Linked DNA regions of Drosophila melanogaster. The protein of the gene in region 2 interacts with the protein of the main gene of each other region in a pairwise test. Each region holds a gene or a part of one and is shown on either strand. Other genes may lie near its edges.

The links.
Region 1: the proteins of CG7148 (region 2) and PGAP5 interact in a two-hybrid assay, tested with the Drosophila melanogaster proteins (one large-scale study listed by BioGRID).
Region 3: the proteins of CG7148 (region 2) and Cul2 interact in a two-hybrid assay, tested with the Drosophila melanogaster proteins (one large-scale study listed by BioGRID).

What each region holds. Positions count from the first base shown.
Region 1 is NT_033779.5:8,196,997-8,202,820, forward strand, and holds PGAP5 (Post-GPI attachment to proteins 5), read left to right. Parts: upstream 1-1,956; 5' UTR 1,957-2,046; coding exon 2,047-2,465; intron 2,466-2,532; coding exon 2,533-3,037; intron 3,038-3,105; coding exon 3,106-3,284; coding exon of another isoform or gene 3,285-3,285; exon of another isoform or gene 3,286-3,349; coding exon 3,350-3,359; 3' UTR 3,360-3,656; downstream 3,657-5,824. Other genes in the region: CG8460 (uncharacterized protein), read left to right, coding at 297-569, 636-825, 883-1,086, 1,153-1,552, 1,617-1,758; SLC5A11 (Sodium/solute co-transporter-like 5A11), read right to left, coding at 3,889-3,964, 4,021-4,712, 4,766-5,179, 5,236-5,303, 5,362-5,413, 5,472-5,537. UniProt on the Drosophila melanogaster protein: Metallophosphoesterase.
Region 2 is NT_037436.4:21,828,106-21,835,569, reverse strand, and holds CG7148 (uncharacterized protein), read left to right. Parts: upstream 1-3,316; 5' UTR 3,317-3,473; coding exon 3,474-4,024; intron 4,025-4,083; coding exon 4,084-4,780; intron 4,781-4,837; coding exon 4,838-4,954; 3' UTR 4,955-5,026; downstream 5,027-7,464. Other genes in the region: Nopp140, read right to left, coding at 1-103, 341-499, 741-2,390, 2,593-2,691; CG32448 (uncharacterized protein), read left to right, coding at 7,401-7,464.
Region 3 is NT_033779.5:21,657,099-21,665,866, forward strand, and holds Cul2 (cullin 2), read left to right. Parts: upstream 1-1,636; 5' UTR 1,637-1,863; intron 1,864-1,996; 5' UTR 1,997-2,055; coding exon 2,056-2,174; intron 2,175-2,741; coding exon 2,742-2,966; intron 2,967-3,024; coding exon 3,025-4,102; intron 4,103-4,249; coding exon 4,250-4,367; intron 4,368-4,431; coding exon 4,432-4,538; intron 4,539-4,985; coding exon 4,986-5,354; intron 5,355-5,419; coding exon 5,420-5,533; intron 5,534-5,590; coding exon 5,591-5,722; 3' UTR 5,723-6,600; downstream 6,601-8,768. Other genes in the region: CG2225 (uncharacterized protein), read right to left, coding at 8,364-8,497.

The DNA of each region.
Region 1 (5,824 bases), on a different chromosome or scaffold from region 2:
GCGCAATTTAAGAAACATATTAAGTTCTCGTTATTGTTTGAAGTTGAAATAATTCGGTGATATAATTTTAAGCTTATAAATAATAAAATAAAATATATCAAATATAATGTTAAGTCAAGTCCAAGTAATAATTTCTGAAGCACACTGCTATTTACCAATTTAGGGTGACCATTTAGAGTGTCTGATGCCGTTTGCCGTTTAGTGTACGCTATGGTCACTTTGCTGCCGGCTTTTTTTTTGTATGCGATTTGTTTTTGTGCGATTTATGCTGTGGTCCTGATTGTCCTTCTGTCGAAATGCGTGCGCCTGATGCGCTCCTGCTCCGCGTCGCTCTCCTGCTTCTACTGCTGACCACCGTCCGCGGAACCCTCGCCCCGGACAGCCACAAATCGAAGAGCAAGACCAAGGAGAGTGCTCTGCGTGGCGGTCCGCAAGACCAAGATGTTTTCGATCTGGGCTTGGTTAGTCCCGAGCCCCTGGCCAAGGATATCGTGAGCAATCATCGCGGGTACTTCAAGGAGACGGGATTGCGACGCTTCAATGGCACCACCTTGGGCTATGTGACTCCAGTAAGCAGAGGACGTACTCCCACATTTTGTGCATGTGTATTAATCTATTGTTTGCTTTGCTTGTAGTGGAACTCGCATGGCTATGATGTGGCTAAGATATTTGCCAAGAAGTTCGACATTATCTCGCCGGTTTGGCTGCAGATTGTTAAGCAGGGAGATCGTTATGCCGTAGCCGGAACCCATGACATCGATGCGGGTTGGCTAACCGATGTCCGGAGAAAGGGTAAACAGGTGCACAATCAGCGAACGGTTAAAGGTATGAGAAAATGATACCCGCTGGCGTTAGTCTAAACTCACTTTCCTTGGATTTCAGTGTTTCCCCGTTTTATATTCGATCACTTCACTGATCGGGACATTAAGCTCTTGCTTAGCGACGCCCAGGAGAGGACGAAAGTCAACGACGTGCTGATCAAGTGCTGCAAGGATAATGGCTTCGATGGACTCGTCCTGGAGGTGTGGTCCCAGCTAGCTGGACGCATAGATGACAAAATTCTGTACACACTGGTTTTGCAAATGGGTGAGCTTAATGCGTTGTAACCCTTTGTTTGTTATTAATAATTTAAATTTCTTTTACGTCACTTAGCCAAAGAACTACAAAAGCAACAGCTGCGACTCATTTTGGTCATTCCTCCATTCCGCAAGGAAACAGGCCACCTTTTTGGAGAAAAGCACATGGACAAGCTGTTCAAGCACATATACGCCTTCTCTCTGATGACTTACGACTTCTCCAGCGTGCAGCGTCCCGGAGCAAATGCACCATTATATTTCGTCCGTAAGGCTGTGGAGACAATAGCTCCAGAAGGTTGCGCTGATATGACGGCTAAGAGGGCTAAAATTCTGTTGGGACTGAATATGTACGGGAATGATTACACGCCCGATGGAGGTGGACCCATCACCTTCTCCCAGTACTTGGATCTAGTCAGGCATGTGAAGAAGCACCTAACTTACGATGAGCGGGATGTGGAAAATTTCTTTGAAATCAAGTGAGTTTTCTACTGCAGCGTATGCAGAGTGTAAGGCGAAGATGATGAATATCATTACTTTCAGAAACGATGACGGTCGCCACATTGTCTTTTATCCCACTCTCTATTCCATAAACGAGCGAATAAAGCTCGCCCAGGAACTGGGCACTGGCATTTCAATCTGGGAACTTGGCCAAGGCCTAAACTATTTTTACGATCTCTTCTAGTTAGCCTGTAAGCAGCATGCAATGCACAATACCTATTCCAAATAAAGGAAATTATATATAAGCCATAATGCTTCATAATTTTTCCAATTTACAATTTTAGTAACCAACTTTGAAATGAGGCGCCAATTTGTTAGTCAACCGACAGCCGCTTGACAGCACTGTTTAATTTATCGAATATTTTAAATTTATATCGGGCCGTTTACTCGTTTAAAACGATACTATCGCTGATGGTTTTTCAGCTCTAGAATAAATTTGTTATTATTTTTTTAGCCGGTGAGAAATCCTGAAATGCGCTTTCTTTATGCCTGCTTTGTGATCGTGCTGTGCGCCCTGATCTTCTGCGAATATGTGGCGGACTTTGTGGTGCTGCAAAAGTGCAAGTGGCCGGAGATAAAGCGAAAGAAGTATGTGGACGATCCGCTTAGGGCAATGATTCTAGCGGATCCGCATCTGCTGGGACCGCATCGTGGTCACTGGCTGGACAAGCTCTACCGGGAGTGGCACATGACGCGGGCCTTTCAGGCGGCATCACGTCTGTTCCAGCCCGACGTGGTCTTCGTCTTGGGCGATTTGTTCGACGAGGGCGACATGGTCAGCGACAAGCAGTTCCAGGAATATGTGTGGCGCTACCTGAAGATGTTCCACCTACCACCGGGAATTCCGCTCATCAGTGTCGCGGGAAATCATGACGTGGGCTTCCATTACAAGTAAGTCAATAAGAGACTATGTGTATTCCCTGATATTTGTTAAACCGCGCTCTTGTGTGTTTTCCAGAATGCATCCCTTCTTTATGTCGCGTTTTGAGAGTTATCTGAACAACTCCTCGGTCAATTTGTACACCATTAAACAAATCCATTTTGTGGTGATAAATTCGATGGCTATGGAAGGTGATGGTTGCATGTTTTGCACCCAGGCCGAGGATCAGTTGAAAAACATTTCGAGGACTTTGTACTGCATGAAGTATCCACTAGAGGCGGAGTGCGCTCGCACCAGGCGGCACCCGTACAGCCAGCCAATTCTATTGCAGCACTTTCCCACCTACCGCATTTCGGATACCATGTGCGAGGAGCACGATGCTCCGTACATCGAGGCGTTCCGAGAGCGGTTTCATGTGCTCTCCAAGGATGCCACGGATATGCTGGGAGAGCTGCTTAAGCCAAGGCTGGCATTCGCCGGTCATTCACATCACTTCTGTCACAGTGTAAATCGACTGGGCATCGATGAGTACACGGTGGCCTCATTCAGCTGGCGAAACAAAGTTAATCCCAGCTTTATGCTGGTGAGTATTATATTTGCTCTTACGATTGTTAGCCCTTCGAACTTGTACTAACATGCCATAACTTTTAGGCCACTATAACCCCCGATGACTATGTGGTTTCCAAGTGCAAAATGCTGCCACAGCAGTTTGTCTTCAATAGCTATCTGAGTGCTGGCATTCTTTGCCTAATTGTCATCGGGTTCCAGCTACGAAAGTGCATCCAAAGCAGAAGACAGTCGTCGGCTGTAGATCATCGGAAGGTTAATTAGTATGTATAAGCATGCCTATACAAGGCATATCCTCTTTTGTGATTTACGCCTGATTGGGGCTTAGTTTAGACTAGATACGCCAGATTCCAGACTCAGATCCCAGATCCAGATCCAGACAGAGGTCATATCATTCCTGCTGCTTTGCAACCGCTTAACTATATTCTAGGTGTACAAAATTCGGATAGTATGTATGATCTATTTATTGAATTTATCACAGACATTATGCTTGTAAAGTCAAACGGAATACATAATGAGACACAGTCTGCTGACTACAAATCGAAAATGCCAAAAAAATAATGCTTGAACAAAGGCTGGAAAGTAAAGAACGGATACAAACAGAACAATTAAATAAAGCTATATTATAATACATTTACTATATAACGTTAATGATTGTGCACTCTGTATTCTGAGATGCAGATTCATAGGTTCCTGTACTTCGGTTTATGTCTTCCAATATCTGGATCACATTGTACTAGACTAGGCTATCTATAAGGTAACTACCACAAAGCAACTACAACTACAAACTATGCTAACAAAACAGGGTGTGGAATTCAATGCCATCAATTCCATTAGTTTGGCACAGGAAGTTCTGGTTCGTCTATTTTAGGATACGTTTAAGAGGTTTTTGTGCGCCTGCGCATGGAGATTGCGACCACTAAAGCATTCTTTTGGAAGGAATCTAGAAGAAAAAATGGGTTTAATAACAGAGGTTAAACATGTGGTTACAAAAATTACCTGTGAATCACTGGTGATATTAGATCCGGATCTAGTGTTTTCATATTTGTGGGTTTGGTCACAAGGGAGACTAGTGCACCTACCACAATGACTGTGGCCACACCAATGGGATTTATCCAGTGGTAGGACAGTCGGTACAGTGGAAAAACTTGCTCCTCATCTACCCATATATTTTCCCGAAGCGTTACATTGCCCACACATCCCTCCACGGATACGGGAAGCTTTTGAGAATTCAATTCACCCGCTGCGATGGTAAACTGCGTTCCAAAGGATATCCACCCGGCGAGCAGAGCACTTGCAATTCCGCCCACAGCAGTGCCTACAGTATTGGCCCAGGGAACGAGCATTCCCAGGGTAAACAGGCCAAAAGTGGTTCCAGCTGCGATGGCCGTCATTGAAGTGCAAATGCTCAGGATTCCACTCAGTTGTTCCAGGACAAATACCAGTGATAGGGCCACAAAGCCAAGAACTATAACAGTTGACTTTACCAGAATGGTGGAGGCTCTTTCACTTGGTTGCATCTTGAAGCAGCCGCGAACTATATCCTCCAGGATTACCAAGGACGTTGAGTTCAGAACCACAGAAAGGGAGCTCAAGGCAGCTCCAAATATGCCGGCTATAAACAAACCAGACATACCATAGATATGACCCACACTCTGAACGACAAAGAGCGGCAGTAGCTGATCGTCGTGCTGCAAGGAAATAAACGTAAGTAAAGTTCAAAAACAATTTATTATTTACTCACTGTTATTAGTCCCGCACTCAGAGGATCACAATCTTTGTACATCTCATAGATTAGCAGTCCCACATAACAACAAACAGAGACGAAGGCAGCCACGCCAATTGTAAAAATGGCCATGGAAGCACGAGCCTTCTTGAGCGATGGAAGAGACATGTATCGCTGGACCATGGTCTGGTTGACGGCATTGAATGAGGTCCAGTAGGAGAATCCCCCGATTAGGACGCTCCAAACAGTGTGCCTTACATAAGGCGATGGGTTTGTATTGTTAAAGATCAATCGGCCACCTTTGGCAGCATCATCGAAAAGGACATTCAAGCCATTTGCATAGACAGTGGCCAAAATAGCCACAGCAAGAACGGAAAGGAACATGACCAGCACCTGCCAAGCATCTGTGTGGACCACTGCTTTGATTCCTCCCTGAAAATAGGCGCCATTAGTATAAAAACATACGTATGAAACTCTCTAAAACTTACGACAAAGGTGTAGAAAACACACACGACCACAATTACCACTGCAATCACATGGAGATTAATGCCCGATACTGCAAGATTATCGAAAGATTAAAGTTGTGTTTCAAACAATTAACAAATGCGGCTTACCCTGATTCAGAGCTATAGCTGGTACATACACAATGAAAGGCAGAAACAGAATCTAAAATTGGATCGACAATTATTACAACATTGCAGTCCAAATATTATCTTTGACTTACCTCATCCAGAATAAACATAAAGGATGCAATACTTCGTACGACCGAATGAAAGCGCATCTCCAAGTACTGAAAGCAATATTATATTTCATAATTCAAATGACTTGCGTTTAGGATTCGAAAACTAACGTCATAAAGACCGAAAACGAAAACTAATTGCTCGACACAATTGTCAAGTGGCAGAAAACCACATTGCAATTAATCATATCGAACCGCTGGAACCCAGAAAAAAGTCGCAACAAGTGGGCGAGTGCAAAGTCCAAGAAATTCCACTTGAGGGGAGGGTGGTCTCCGATTCCCAGTTAATTAAAGTGTTCACTACGTCCTCCGTTCATTGATTGGACAAAAGTGACGGA
Region 2 (7,464 bases):
CGTTGAACTTGTTGGTCTCCCAAGTGCTGCGATCCGGTCGTCCGGAGAAGCCTGAGCCTCCTCGGCCGCCCCGTCCGTTGTTGTGCTTCTTAAAGTCGTTTTCCTGAAATGGTAGAAACGCCGAAAGGGGCAAACCACAAATTAGCAACGATTTGATTTGATATATAAGTTCAAAATGTATTGGGAAAGTGCCACAAGTGGTTTGAGATTCTTCGAGGAGCAACTTGCTAATTTGTGTGTCTGCCCCTTTCAGCCTCGTAGAAAGATCCCCCTCGCCTAATCCTCAACAGCCGTCGCAAACACACACACCCACGCGACTCAAATCCATTGCGGCACTTACCTTCGCCTCGAAGGACATGTCCTGGACTCGGGAGTCCACCACCACGTCCTCGGTGCGTACCCTTCGGAAGGGCGACCGTCGCCCACTTCCCCCTCCGCTATTGTTCATATTATGGTTTCGGCTGAAGGTGTTGTTAGGTGTGGAGGTGAAGTCATTCTTCTGCGAATGGCAATGAAGTTATGTAAAACTGTCTGCACAGGAATCGGACAAGGAGCCAAAATTATGTGCTGTTTAAAGTTCGGCTCAAATTTCAATAGGGCTTTAAAAAGCTACTTTTAAGGGAATCCTTTAACTCAGGAATTATTTTTATCCGACATTCAAAATTGATGTCTGAAGGAAAACATGCATAAGCGGACTGCGGATAATTTTAGATGTACATAGATAAGTTACACCGCCTTACCTGTTGCTCTCCCGATTTGACGAAGTTGTTGTACTTCTTGTTGGGAGTGGCCTCGTCCTGGTCGCCACCACTAAACTTGCGCTTCTGAGCGGTCTTCTCATTGCCATTGGTAGCTGAGTTGGGCTTGACCTCGCCGGACTCTTCACCAGAGTCACTCTCGTCGCTGCTGCTGTCAGCCTTCTTCGCAGGAGCAGCAGTCTTCTTGACAGCTGGCTTCACTGCCGGCGTTTCTTCATCGCTGGAATCGTCACTGTCTGAGGAGGCAGCCTTTGCAGACTTGGCCAGAGCCTTGGGAGCAGCCTTTGCTGGCTTTTCGTCTTCTGAGCTATCGCTATCTTCCGAAGAAGCAGCCTTTGCAACGGCCTTCGCGGCTGGTTTCTTGGGAGCTTCCTCCTCATCGGAGTCGCTGTCTTCGCTTGAAGACTTGGCCTTTTTGGCCGGTGTCGCCTTTGCTGGGGCGGCAGCCTTCTTGGGCGCCTCTTCTTCCGAGGAGCTGTCATCGCTGGAAGCTGCCTTCTTGGCAGGAGTTGCCTTAGCTGGCGTGGCCTTTGCTGGAGCTGCCTTCTTGGGCGCCTCTTCTTCCGAGGAGCTGTCATCGCTGGAAGCTGCCTTCTTGGCAGGAGGTGCCCTAGCTGGCGTGGCATTTGCTGGAGCTGCCTTCTTGGGCGCCTCTTCCTCCGAGGAGCTGTCATCGCTGGAAGCTGCCTTCTTGGCAGGAATTGCCTTAGCTGGCGTAGCCTTTGCTGGAGCTACCTTCTTAGGAGCATCGTCTTCCGAAGAACTATCCTCAGTGGAACTGTCGGCCTTTTTGGTGGGAGCAGCCTTAGAAATGGGCTTTGCGAGAGTTGCTGCCTTTTTGGGTGCCTCGTCTTCAGAGGAACTATCATCACTAGAGGAAGCCCCCTTCTTAGCAGGAGCCAACTTGGCAGCAGATTTAGCAGCGGGTTTGACCTCCTCCTCTGAGCTGCTGTCTTCGGAACTAGAAGCGGCTGCCTTAGGAGCTGGCTTTGCGGCAGGCTGGACGGCAGGCTTCTTGGCGGCTGGCTCGTCATCGGAGTCGCTTTCCTCGCTGGAGGATGCTGCTTTCTTTGCCGGTGCAGCCTTGGCTACAGGCTTGGCAGCTGGCTTAGTCTCCTCATCGGAGCTGCTTTCTTCGCTGCTGGAGTCGGCCTTCTTGGCGGGAGCAACCTTAGTCGTTGTGGCCTTGACGGCGGGCTTTGCCGGTTCTTCCTCGGAACTGCTATCCTCGCTGCTGGACTCAACCTTCTTCGCGGGAGCCGCCTTGGCCGGAGGTGCCTTCACTGGAGCAGCTTTTTTGGGTGCTTCTTCCTCCGAGGAACTGTCCTCGCTGGAGGATTTTGCCTTCTTGCCGACAGCCTTGGCCGGCGTGGCCTTTGCTGCTGGCTTCTTCTCCTCCTCTGAATCGCTGTCCTCGCTGGTTGAAGAAGCTGCCTTTTTGACAGCCTTGCCGTTTGTTAGTGCAGGAGCTGTCGCTGGCTTCTTAGGCGCCGCATCAGACTCAGAGTCTGAGTCGCTGTCTTCGCTGGAGTCTCCGGCTGTCGCCTTGATTGCTGGGATCTTTTTGGGGCTTTTGGTCTGGTAGAACTGAAGGATTTCACTCAACTTTGGGCTGCTTTTGGCGACACTGGCCTGCAAGTTAGAAAAAGGCAGAAATTCTTGGTTATCTGGACGAAGCACGTGGCACTTGCAGCAAGTGGCAGGTGGACAGCTCGATGAGCCATCGGCGGACAGCAAGGCCCTCGGATTCTAGATCAGGAGGACGCAGATACCACATGTTTCGGGTGCATCCAAACCGCACATATTGCACTTGCCGCTCTGCACTGAAACTTACCGCCTTCGTCTTCTGCTGGAAAACCTTGGCTAGGTTCTTGTCCTTGGACTGCAAGTACTCCAGGACGATTGCATCGGCTATCTTTAGCAGGTCTGTCATGATTAATTCAACTATTCGTCAATATTTTCCGTCCGCAAATAATTACTAGCCGCTTGTCCCACAAAAAAGAATGCGCACTCACACGTGTTTTCTACTTATCAGTGGTATGGCAGCACTACGCGGCTGCCAACGGTGTGGCCACCCCTGCACCCCGTTTCTCAACACTGTCAATGCAGCGGGTATTCTTCCCAAGAATAACTCGAAAATGCCAATCAATTGTAATCATTTATTTATGCCACACCGACAAAGATCTTGAAATTAGAAATAACGCTAGGCTACGTTAGACAAAACTAAAATTACAAATTTATTGTTATATATGTCTATGTATATATATATATGTATATATATATATGTATATGTATATATGTAGACATATATAACAATAAATTTGTAATTTTAGTTTTGTATATATATATATATATATATATATATATATATATACATAGACATATATAACAATAAATTTGTATTGTTAAATTTGTTATATATATATATGTCTATATGTCTATGTATATATATATAAATTACTAAACTGTATTATTAAATTGTATTCAAACAATTAGCGTATATATAACATAATGTAAGGAACCTACGTTTTTTGCGTGAGGTATTCAGACCATCCACGACTGGTCACATTGGGGGAGCACCAAAATGTATTTTTGTTTGTTATTCAATTGAGTTGACCTGCTTGAAACGATCCAGAATACAGAAACTATCTCTCGCTCCGGCTATTTTAACAGACTCTGTACCTAGATTGTGTCGCGAGGATCGCATCCCGGGCCATGGCTTCCGAGCCGAGATCCCTAATTCTGCAATTGGACGACGACTGTCTGGCCGAGATTTTCGATCGCTTGCAGGACCTGCCGTCGGAAGTGTCCTTCGCGAGGACTTGCCGGCGAGTGCAGTACATATGTCTGAGCAAGTGGCGCACCAGCCATGCCTACGAGCAACTGGATCTGGAGAAGTGGCGGGTACTGTTGCCCAATCATGAAGACCTGGTCTACTTCCTAACCCAAATGCGTCCGTACATCAGAGAAATGGGCGGCAGCAGCTGTCTGTGCTCCATTCTAAAAGATCTGGACGAAATGCACATTGCAGAGCTGCCCATGGTGACCAGCTTCTACTACGACCCAGACGGCGTCGATTGCTATCCCACGAACCGAAGCATCCGCAAGCTGGCCCGCCTGCTGCCGGGCTTGAAAAAGTTGCGCCTTACCACACCCATCGACGGGCGGTACCTATCCAACTTCCAGCACCTGCAGGAGCTGCACCTCTACGAGGACCAGCACAAGGCGTTTGAGCTGCAGCAGAAGTACCTGGACGAGGTGTGCCGGTAAGTAGTAACCTTCTGCTGCATAATATTTCGCAACTCATTTTCCGTTTGCGCCACAGCACGCTGCACGATCTTCGGGTCCTGGACATTAGGACGTACGATATGATCAGTAAACTTCAGCTGGGAAACTGCCTGCAGAGCTTTAAGAACCTCACTGATCTTAAGCTCAATCTGGCCACCTTGAAACCCATTCTACCCGCCGTTCTGGAGCTGCCCTCCCTCAGGAAACTGGTGGTGCTGCTGGACAACGAGTGGCATATCCCCCCGCTGGTCAGTCCGGATAGCTATGACCACAAGATCCGCGAGGTCAGCGAGTTCTACGAGATCATGGCTTTCAAGGCCAAGGACATCGTCGGCTTTGCCGTGGACGGGTACTATATGCCCCTTGAACCGGGCTGGGATGAGAAGCTGCCCATCTGGACGCATCGCAGGCTGAAGCGCCTGGCCATTTGCAGCTGGACTCATTCGGCAGACTACCTAAAGCGCTATACCTGTATGACAGAGCTGCAGCTGCTCTGCGTGCGCAACTGGAATGACCTAAGCGACGAAATCCTCTTAGAATTCGTGGAACTCTGTCCACGATTGGAACACCTCGACGTGTCCTACTGCCGAAATCTGACGCCAACATTTTTGCCACGGGCCTTGAGTATTCTTAAGCGGCGGGAGCCGTTCAAGCAGAAGACGGGAGTTGGACGTTCGCCACCTCTGAAGCTCTACTACGACCTAAGTGGCTTTGAGGACTTTGTGGATAGAGCGGTTACTATTTCTTGTTTATGTCGCTCTTCTTTTATCTAATCAATCAATCCATTGCAGAACCTAAAGAGCTCTTTGGAATATAGAGGATATATTGTCTTCACCGCCGACTTTCCAGTCGACTCGGAACGCGGTCTGAGCTTTGTGGACCGCGGATACCAATTTGAATTTCACTGACCTCAAAATATGTAAATATACAAGCGTAGATTCATACAATAATTTATTATTAAAATTTATGTTGCACAAAGTACGCCAAATTGGATTATTATTTCAAAGTTTTGAGTGCTCCATGCGGACTTCCGTGTTGTTTTCTAAGGCTGTCCTTCACGTAGTGACAAAGAGCACCGTAGTTAAATTATTTAAATAAATTTGTTTTAATAAAATAAATATGAAAATGAGCTGACGATAACGTGCAACATTTTTACCTTTGTTCCCTGGGAATCATTTATAGCTATGAAATAGCTAGCTGAATACCCCTGATAATATGTATATTGCTACTGCCAGGTATAATAACTGTAAGATATAATTTGTAGTTTGGAAGTCAACTTGTTGTTTCCCCAAAAACTATAATGCAATCGATAGTGTAACTCCCGCTCCTATGGATATCTAATCTGCAGGCAAAAATTATTAAATTTGACATTTCAAGCTGAAAAACGTTTTTGAATTCAGAGCATAAGAAAACAGTGCTGTACATATCAGGCAGATCCTGAGGAACAATGATACGATAGGTGAAAACTCGGACAGCGATTGTGAGTACGGATTCCTTAATGTCCTTCACCTAGCTAAACCGAGTCCAGTTTCCAGTTACCATAGAAGACTGCAAAGCGGTTTCAAGCGGAGACATACTCGAGTTCCCTGGGGAGAACTCCAATGAACACGCGGCTTCTTCGTATAGTAAGCCGGAACTGACTGGCCCGCTGAGGAGCCCAGCCGGAAGGTTAAGCCCCCGTACCGTCAGACTTTTCCAAGAGGAAAAGCTACGCCTGGTCAGAGCACACCGACATTTTTATGAACAGGAAAACATCCGCGCTCAGGAGAAGCACGTGGAGGAAATGGAAACCCTATGTGCGAAGCGGGAGCTCCTCTTCTTGGAAATCGCTGAAAACAAAAGAAAACTTAATGTACACTTTTAGATGCATTTTCGTTGGCTAAATTACGTGTTTAATGGGACTTCCTGAGGGATTCATGAGTTAAAGTTTGTAGTGTTAAAAATTCTCAATATGTACATCAAATTCCAAAGAATTTACTAATTATGTTTCTAAGATTTTCATCGTTTTTATCAGCTTTGTCATTGATTTCCTCGTCGTCCGACAGTTTAAAGGGTTTGTCCATGTCAACAGAAGGTTGGGGCAAAGGGTCCTTTTCCTCCCTGGATAGGCATTCACACTCCAAGGGATAGGACGGGAAACCTCTATGTGCGACTCGTTATAACGACTTTGTGCCTCCGTGGTGGGATTTATAAGGGGGGTCATCATATATTTGTTAAGCGAGTAGTTCCAATTGCTTAGGAGATAGTGTTCCTCGAACTCGCCGGCTTCCCACCTGGATTTTAGTCGACTGCTGTCGAAGATAGCTCTATTTCCGGTTGAACCAGGCCATCGTGCACCGACATCTTGGATGCTAAAGTGCGCATCTGAGACAGCCTCTTATTGATAAGAATCCCCTGCAGTTGCAATAGACGTCGCCGTGGTTCTGCCCCGAGAGTGGAGCCCAATGTGCGTGCACCCGACCCCCCCTCATCACATTTGGAAGCGGGGGGATTCTTTGGAAATCCACCATTCCTTGGACATGGCCGCAATGCGTAGGGAAACCTCCCCCACCGCCTAACATGCAGAGGCCTTCGAAAGCGGCATCCAAATTTCTACAGACGTAGAAACGCAGGGCCAGGAGCAACTCGTCCTCGGGACTTAGTAAGCGTTGCCTAGGCAGATTCAGTGCGTCAAAGAGGGTTCCTCTTGAAGTCAGTCAACAAACGAACCCGAATTCGGATGCTCCAACCGTTTTCATATTTTTTGTAAAACCACTAATCTACTGGCTTTTGAAGCTCTTGGAAGTTGTGTGTACTTTGGTGGATCCTTAGCTTCCGAGGCCATAAGCCCTCGTCTTCATCGGAGTATTCAAGTAAATTAAGATAAATAGCGCGGTTCAAAGGCATTTTGTTGATATTGGTCCTATAAGCTGTTTTTTTTTTTCGAAATTGAAATTTCACTGTGAATGGCTATCTTACACAGTAAGCTGTTTCAAAATATTCAACAGTTGTGTATTCCAAAAACATCCCCCAATTAATATTTGATCCTTGGAAACATTACTTACACAGTCAGCTGTTTCAAAATATTCAACAGTTGTGTGTTCCAAAAACATCCCCCAATTAATATTTGATCCTTGGAAACATTACTTTTTAGACAAATAGCATTTTCATTTTCAAATGGATTGTTAAGTAGATTTTTAATGATTACAATTTTTTAGAAGGAACCAAGGTGTCACATCAGTGGCAATCTTCACTGTGCCTTACATAGAGGGTACTTTGCAGTTCGATGGTCACACTATTCCAAATCCCATTCCTTTCACATGTTTGTGTTTACAATATAATTGTGCAGAGCATTTAGTGGAGAAGACGACGAGGATGAGCGAAGGAAAGCAGCAGGGTCCTGGCGATGGCATCCGATCCATGCGAAGCACCGGAGTCT
Region 3 (8,768 bases), on a different chromosome or scaffold from region 2:
CCAAACTTAAAGTAAACACCAGTCAGAAAATTTCAATTTCACAATGCTGTGAAATAATTTCAGTATAAAGCTTTTATCCTAAACATATTTGAAGTTCCAGAAAATTCTAAAAAATTTCTAGGTTGAGTGGATTAGGATTTAGATTTAGAAAATCAGTCTAAGTCCGGACGAGATTGTGAACATTTTCAAATTAAGGATAAGATAAGATAAATAAATTTTAAATTTTAATTTACATGTATCTACATATGTTGGCTGTTGTCTATCCCAGTTTCGAAAACAATGCATGTAAAAAGCGTGTAGTCACAGAAAAATTATATCTCCACGAAAACTGTGGATTAAATTGTAATCAAACTTTTTACACAAATAATGAAATTACAACATTTTTAAGATACCGTGCAATTTGAAGTTTATTTAATTTTTTGGAATTCACCTCCAAATAACGATTAAGAAATAAATACAAAACGTCTGCCGTGCTGATGGCTCAGGCTTTCCTCAGGCTGGAGTACCCCCCATGCCACAGCTCTAAACACTAAAGTCGATAACCACCGACGTCTCACAACACTGAAAATGTAAGCAATGTTAAAGCGAACACAAAGACAAAAAATTTAAATGTTTTGAAATGCTTAGAACATCACACCTTTTGGTAAATCGGAGTCCGAATTCTTTAAATAATTCTCGGTATATATATTAATTATTTTTTACATCATTTACATCTCAATCCATTTCTCCATCAGTATATGGTATCACACTTGGATCGACGACTGCTACATTGGATAGGTCAAAGTGAAATGTGTGGATGGCCTTTGGAAGCTACAAAGGCTGGAAATAGTGGTAGGCGATGTGCCAATTTTTGGCGCATATGGAAGGTTGCAAGTATTGATCACCGGCGGCTACGGTGGATGTGGCTCCAATTTATTCTTTGGAGTAAATTTCCGGTTTGGTGGATAAAAAAGTTCCAATCGACTGACAACCAACAGACAACTAAAAAAATTTGGCGCTCAACGATCTTAGCCATTGACAAATATGAGACTTTCTGATTTTTTGAGCTATACATTTTGTAAATTTTTGTTTCTTTAAGCTTAATGGTTTTTTCGTTTGTTTATCTTAGCCTTTATATATTTTCTTAGTAATTAAACATGTATTTATTTTGTATCTATCTCTTTGTATTTGTATTTTTTTGTATGTATCTCTGTTTGCCTTTTCGAAAGCCACATCTAGGCACTTAACAGTTTAGACCTTTAAAACTCGGTCTGTACAAAATGGATCATTCTTCTAGATCATACACTTACCTTTAAGGCATAACCCTTAACTCACTTTTGAAATCTTTTGAAAATGTATATTCTTTTGAACAAAAAGGTTGGCACTCGAGAGCAATAGCAATACGTATAAGCAATCGAAAAAAACGAAAATCATAAAAAATCCTAACATTATTACAGTTCACATATGAAATCAATTTAGGTTTGTGCACTTACAGTTTTTTAAGAAAATGGCTTTGGCCAGTTTTTAGGCAGGAAGGTAAAAAATTTGTTCAGTGGATCGGCGTTGACAATAAATTAAGATCAAAACAAAAGCAAACGTTTCGGTAGTGGAGACACGACATTCTTTTTACATCGAATTTTTTGTCGAGTTCAAATATCGATAGATTATATCGATATCGTCTTCGTCTGACAAACCATTTCACGATACCAAAAAAAAAGTGCAAAAATAACTAAATTCTCGGCGTAATTATTTAGTAAATAGCGTAGCTAAGCAGCAGGTGAGTAGGTCGCAAGCGCGCCCCTCCACGATCCATCAAGCGGTAATTGGCCTGCTGTGCAATTGCTCGAGGACAAGGCCATTTGCCTGGTGGCCCCCACGCAAAAAGTAAGCGATTATGCCAAAAAGCAAAGCAGAAGTGGTCTCTGCCAACGCATGAGGGTCGCTCGGTCGCCCATTGTTATATTTGCGAAGGCAGAATCAGTCGGCGTTCTAATTAGCGTGCACCCTGTCCCATCAGAAAACCCTTCCAAATCCATATCCAGACGGACCACGGATTAGGACTAAGACCCATTTGACATGTCGCTCAAGCCCAAAATAGTGGAGTTTGTCGATGTTTGGCCGCGCCTGCGCTGCATCGCCGAGTCGGTGATAACGCTCACCAAAGTGGAGCGCTCGGTGTGGAATACTAGCTTCAGGTACGTCTTGGCAACGGTCGGAGTATTAAACAGCCTGGAGAGAGATATTGTGATAGGTCACTAGAGACTACAAAGTTACCCAACTCAGAAGAAACACAAATAACACTAACTAACTTTTAAATTAATCCAACATAAGTAATGGTTTCAATCACATTATTTTGCATTTGAGTTGGTAAACTATGAATGTACTAGTACCTAGCGGTTCAACTATATATTTTATTCAACAGCAAAATTCACAAATATAGCTGCTAGCGAGGCGAAAATGATTTGGTAAATGTCGTAGAATCTTGATAAATGCAATCATAGTTTTAATAATAAATGCCTGTTTTCTAGCTTGAATTTAAATATTTTGACCGCTTAAAGGTTAAACTAAGTTCAAGTAAATATTAAATAGATCGATGACGTATCTTTTTAAAATTAATAATCAAAACAGTGTAACGCAGGCTGCTTTTATTCTGACCGCAACTGTTCGTATATATGTGTGAAGCGTGAGTTGCCAAAATAAAATTTCTAAAATAACGAGCACTAATACATCTGTCTTTCCAATCACATTCCTTTAACATATAGCGACGTTTACACACTGTGCGTGGCGCAGCCGGAACCGATGGCTGATCGTCTTTATGGCGAAACAAAACACTTTCTTGAGCAGCACGTCCAGGAGATGCTGGCCAAAAAGGTGCTGATCGAGGGAGAATGCTCCCATTCCAATGGTGGCCCAGACCTTCTCCAGCGTTACTACATCACCTGGATGGAATATAGCCAGGGTATCAAGTATCTGCACCAATTGTACATGTAAGAATGCATCGAAGTCTGTAATAACTCAATGATCGTTGGAATTAATTTCCTTTAGCTACCTGAATCAACAACACATCAAGAAACAAAAGATTACCGATACGGAATCGTTCTACGGTAATCTGTCAAGCGATGCTGCGGAGCAGATGGAGATTGGCGAGCTAGGTCTAGACATTTGGCGCCTGTATATGATTGAGTACTTGTCCAGCGAACTGGTCCGTCACATACTCGAGGGCATTGCCGCAGACAGAGCTAGCAATGGCACCTTGGATCACCATCGCGTGCAAATTATCAACGGAGTGATACACAGCTTCGTGGAGGTACAGGACTATAAGAAAACAGGCTCGCTTAAGCTCTACCAGGAACTCTTTGAAGGCCCCATGCTGGAGGCCAGTGGCGCCTACTACACAGACGAGGCTAACAAGTTGCTCCATCGGTGCTCAGTGTCGGAGTACATGCAGGAGGTTATCCGGATACTGGAATATGAAAGCCGGAGAGCCCAAAAGTTTTTACACGTCAGTTCCCTGCCAAAACTACGTAAAGAGTGCGAGGAGAAGTTTATTAACGATCGTTTGGGCTTCATCTACTCGGAGTGCCGCGAAATGGTTTCAGAGGAGCGGCGCCAAGACTTACGCAACATGTACGTCGTACTAAAGCCCATACCCGATAATCTCAAGTCTGAGCTCATAACCACCTTCCTCGATCACATCAAAAGTGAAGGTCTGCAGACCGTATCTGCGCTGAAGGGCGAAAACATCCATATTGCGTTCGTAGAGAATATGTTGAAGGTACATCACAAGTACCAAGAGCTGATCGCAGACGTCTTCGAAAACGATTCTCTATTCCTGAGCGCATTAGACAAGGCGTGCGCCAGCGTTATCAATCGCCGGCCAACCGAGCGGCAGCCTTGCCGTAGTGCCGAGTATGTGGCGAAATACTGTGATACGCTACTGAAAAAGTCTAAGACCTGCGAGGCAGAGATCGATCAAAAGCTTACTAACAACATAACCATATTTAAATATATCGAGGATAAGGATGTGTATCAAAAGTTTTATAGCCGACTGTTAGCCAAGCGCCTAATCCACGAGCAAAGTCAGAGCATGGATGCGGAGGAGGGAATGATCAATCGTTTGAAGGTGCGTGGTCTGCTAGTCTAAAATGTACTTCACAGTGAATAACTGCAATAATGTGAATTATTTATTTTTAATGCTGTTTTAATTTGTTATGACCCTTTTACAAAACTACATTAGCTTAAATAGATCTTCTTTTATTAATACTTACAGCAAGCCTGCGGTTATGAATTTACCAATAAACTTCATCGCATGTTTACGGATATATCGGTATCAGTAGATCTGAACAACAAGTTTAATACTCACCTTAAGGATAGCAATGTGGACTTAGGTGAGACGGAAAATGTATATTCATTAAAGATAGTTTATTTTTATGTATGTGTATTTCTATGCAGGCATCAACCTTGCCATTAAGGTACTGCAGGCGGGCGCGTGGCCCTTGGGATCTACTCAAGTTATACCATTTGCAGTACCACAGGAATTTGAAAAATCTATTAAAATGGTACGTTTTTCGTAAATGTATATATTTTATTTTAAAACGAGATAGAAGCTGCCTTTGACAAACCAAAGTTATAAAAAATTTTTTTCAGACTTTCTTTATTTAGTCAAATTTTTAAAGAGAGGCCTTTTAACAATATTCAGAAACATATATAAATATTTAAAGCAGCAATAAATACAAATAATATATAATAATAAATACAGAAAAACCTTTATGTAAAAAACTTTCCTTCAAATCGACGACTACATCGTAAGGTGTTCTCTTGAAATGTGTGACATATAGAAAGTTAAAAGTATCTTTATTTCAATAAAGGTACTTTAGCATACCAAATCAAAACGCAACTTCTTTTGGTCCAAATACATCTTAAACCGTGTGACTTTGTCGAAGGTACTTCAGAAATTTTAAATGTATACGTTAATCGTGTACTGTACCTTTGTTATGATTTTTCAGTTCGAGGATTACTATCATAAATTATTTAGTGGCCGGAAGTTGACTTGGCTACATCACATGTGTCATGGAGAATTAAAGTTGAGCCATTTGAAAAAATCTTATATCGTGACTATGCAAACATACCAGATGGCGATAATACTGCTGTTCGAGACTTGTGATAGTCTGAGTTGTCGGGAGATCCAGAACACCTTACAGCTAAACGACGAAACGTTTCAAAAGCACATGCAGCCTATTATCGAGTCAAAGCTTTTAAATGCCAGCTCAGAGAATCTCGCCGGTGAGACTCGAATAGAATTAAATTTGGATTACACAAATAAGCGTACAAAGTTTAAAATAAGTTCGGCTTTGCAAAAAGAAACGCCACAGGAGGTAAGGCATTTCGATTTCAACCTGGTTACCTGGTACCTGGTTTTCTAACGACGTTATTTATGTAGGTTGAGCACACAATTAACTCGGTAGATGAGGACCGAAAACTCTTTCTACAAGCCGCCATTGTAAGGATTATGAAAGCGCGTAAAGTCTTAAAGCACAATGCCTTAATACAAGAGGTAATATCTAAAACACCTGACTGTGAATTAAAATTACATGATGTATTTTTTCTTTAGGTTCTCTCTTTATCGAAGGTTAGCTTTACTCCCAACATAGCAATGATCAAGAAATGCGTGGAGTCATTAATTGACAAACAATATATTGAGCGAACGGCGAACTCGGGCGATGAATATAGCTACATGGCATAGACTGCGGTAGAGATTTTTTATTCTTAAACAAGAACCTTCCCGGACAACAACCTCCCATACACACAACTGACGCTAACCAAGCGGCTTATTTTGTCTAAAAAGAACTACCTACAATGTTAAAAAAAGAAATCAAAAGGTCAAGCAATTTGAGTTTTGTTATTTTTGTGGTCATAGCATATTGGTATGAAAGGTGTGTGGAAATCAAACGACGTTACTGATACTTTTAATTTAGCTTAGTTAGTTGATCCATTTTGATTTAATGCGTGTGTCCTATTCAATTGTAGATATAATATATTTCTTTATGTATTGTATATTTATCTGGTTTTATTAACACACGCACAAACCAGAATAATGTGCTGGAAAATGTATAATAAATCCCAAAAAATGTCTAAAAATATGTCATTCAAAGTATTTCGTATCCTGTGCGTTAACGCTGTACCACTGTACACTTCAAATTTACATAAATGAATGCTGTGCAAAAAGCAGTCAGCATTGCAGTTTAAGTATGCGGATAGAGATCTGTACTTTTTATTTGGTCGTCTCGGAAAAAACTGGATCTATTGTCCGGAATCCCATTCTTATAATTTTTTGATTTTCTAGTACTTTTTAATAACGAATCCGGGTAGAAATAGGCGTACCACCACCTACAAATTGGCATATCGTATATTGAGCTTTGAGTTGTCAAAGTGCCAAAGAAAGTGTAAAAGCAAACATTTTTCGAAACTTTCAAGATTGCTAAGATTCTTAGATTTTGTTTTAAAAGAGCTTTTAAGGACTTTCCCATCTTTTTGTTTTTGCTCACACATTTTATTGGACCTTGGTTTAAAATATAAAATTCCCTTAAATTCTTTTACTAATCTTAGAATGTCGATTTTATTAATTTACAATACCTTGTACGTATGTTCAGTAACCATTTAAGTTTCGCCTTTGCCAAGAAATCCAATATTTGTATATATTAAATACCCAAGGGCCGTGGATTATATTTGTTTTTAGTCATTTTTATTTCTTTTGTGCTACTTTTCTAAAAAATATATATCATAATGGTAAATTAATTAATTTTACAAATATGTATATGTAACTTAATAGTTAATTATAAAAATTATTAACTTCCTATATCAAATAACACTAGTTCATTGAACGGAATAAATAAAAAATACTTTTAAGTCGCTGATAACATTAATTTGTTTTGATAAATTCGGTAGAACATGATTGTAATTTGTTTCGCGATAAAAAAAGCGGTCCCATAAAAATCTTTTTAACGCTTCTGAATCCATGGCCATACCCTGAAAACAACTGCCTTCAACGACTTAAAAGCATTTTGGATGTAATAGCTGTAACTGTAATACAATTCGTTAATAATAATTTTATCTTGTTTTTGAGTGCCACAGCTCCCGCTGATAAAATGATTCCAATATTTATGTTTTTGGCATCCACTGAGTGTTAATAAAAAATATGTTATCTTTCTTATACATTTTTTATGGTTCATTTTTTATATTTAATGACTAGTAAACGTTTACATATTGCAATTTTCCTTTCCAACCACTCAACTTCATTTTTGCTCAAAATTTGAGAAAAGCTTTCTCTGGTAAAATCGTCTTGAGCATTTTATAAGTTTAAAGTTTTTATGTATTAAATTACTCTCGATCTTGTTTTTATTATCAAACATTCGTTAAAATGTGGAGGGTTTAACTTCATTCTGTTTCAGTTTTTGGAAATTCTATACGTATCAGTTTTAAGAATTTTTTTATAATCTCAACTTGATTTTCCTGTGTTGCACTCTGGGGCGTGGCAGATGTTCGATTAATAATTTACATGAGATAAAAAAAATATCTCATTTTATTGCCCGTTTCTAGCTCCTTTAAATACCTTGCACAACTTTAAATTGATGTAAGAAATAAAGTGTTCTTGCCTAGAACCCTAAACGGTTTAGTCGTAGTCCAAACTATATATATTATATATATATATATATATACATATATAATATATAATATATAATATATAATATATAATATATAATATATATAATAATATATAATATAATATATATATATAATATATATATTTATATATATTCCTCATACATATACGAGTATGTATACAGATTTAAACTAATTCAGTGCTTTTAAATTTCTTGTTGCGCCACAATGCTGCGTGTATTCGGTTAGATTTTGGTTATTCGATCATTGGTCATATAACTACAGTAATTGCTTTAATAGTATTTTAAAAGATGAGTGTTGACCGCACATTCACTTTACACTTTATTTTCTTTGACTTGTAGGAGTGAAATCTTGTTTGTATTTGTTAGGTTCATTTTATTTATTTTGCCATTTTTTAAATTTAATTTTATCTTTCTTAGCGTTTTTTTCATTGTCAGTCTTTACGATTCACGGCTTTTGTGCATTTGAATTTTCCAATTGTCTTCTTACTGTATGACCAATACGAAATTTTATGTATTTTTTCAAGGCGAACGAACACAAGCGCTTTGCTGATCGAATGAGCAGGTGAGTGACTAGGTGAGTGCAAAGATGAACTGGCAGGTTTCGACCCGATAGAAGTTAATGCACGGTTATTATAATTTTCGATGCTACTATACACATATGTATGTGTATATAAAACAAGGGGTATATCCAAGAGGGGATTTTTACTGATCTAAAGAGACCGTTTTGGAGCGTTTCCAAAGAGATTTAAAAAGCCCCTTTTTTTTAGGTTTGTTATTCGTGGTCGCCCCCGAGGCTCCATTGTCTTTGCGATTGGTATCCTTTCGCGTGGTGGATCCTAGAAAAGTGTTTGGTATCAAAATTAAAGTCTTTTGAAAAGTTTTTTCAAATTTATGTTAACGCTACCGATTAACTATCAAGAACCTGCTAAGGAGAGGGAGCTTTTAAATTGCACACAAGCTTTACCTACGAGTATCTGCTAAAAAATTCATTTAAATTTAAACCAAAATTTTTAAATTTAATCTAGCGTTAGGGACGTCAAGTAAGCGTGACAATATTTTGAAGCAAACAATTTCATATAAATTATTTTACGCAATTTGCTTCATTTT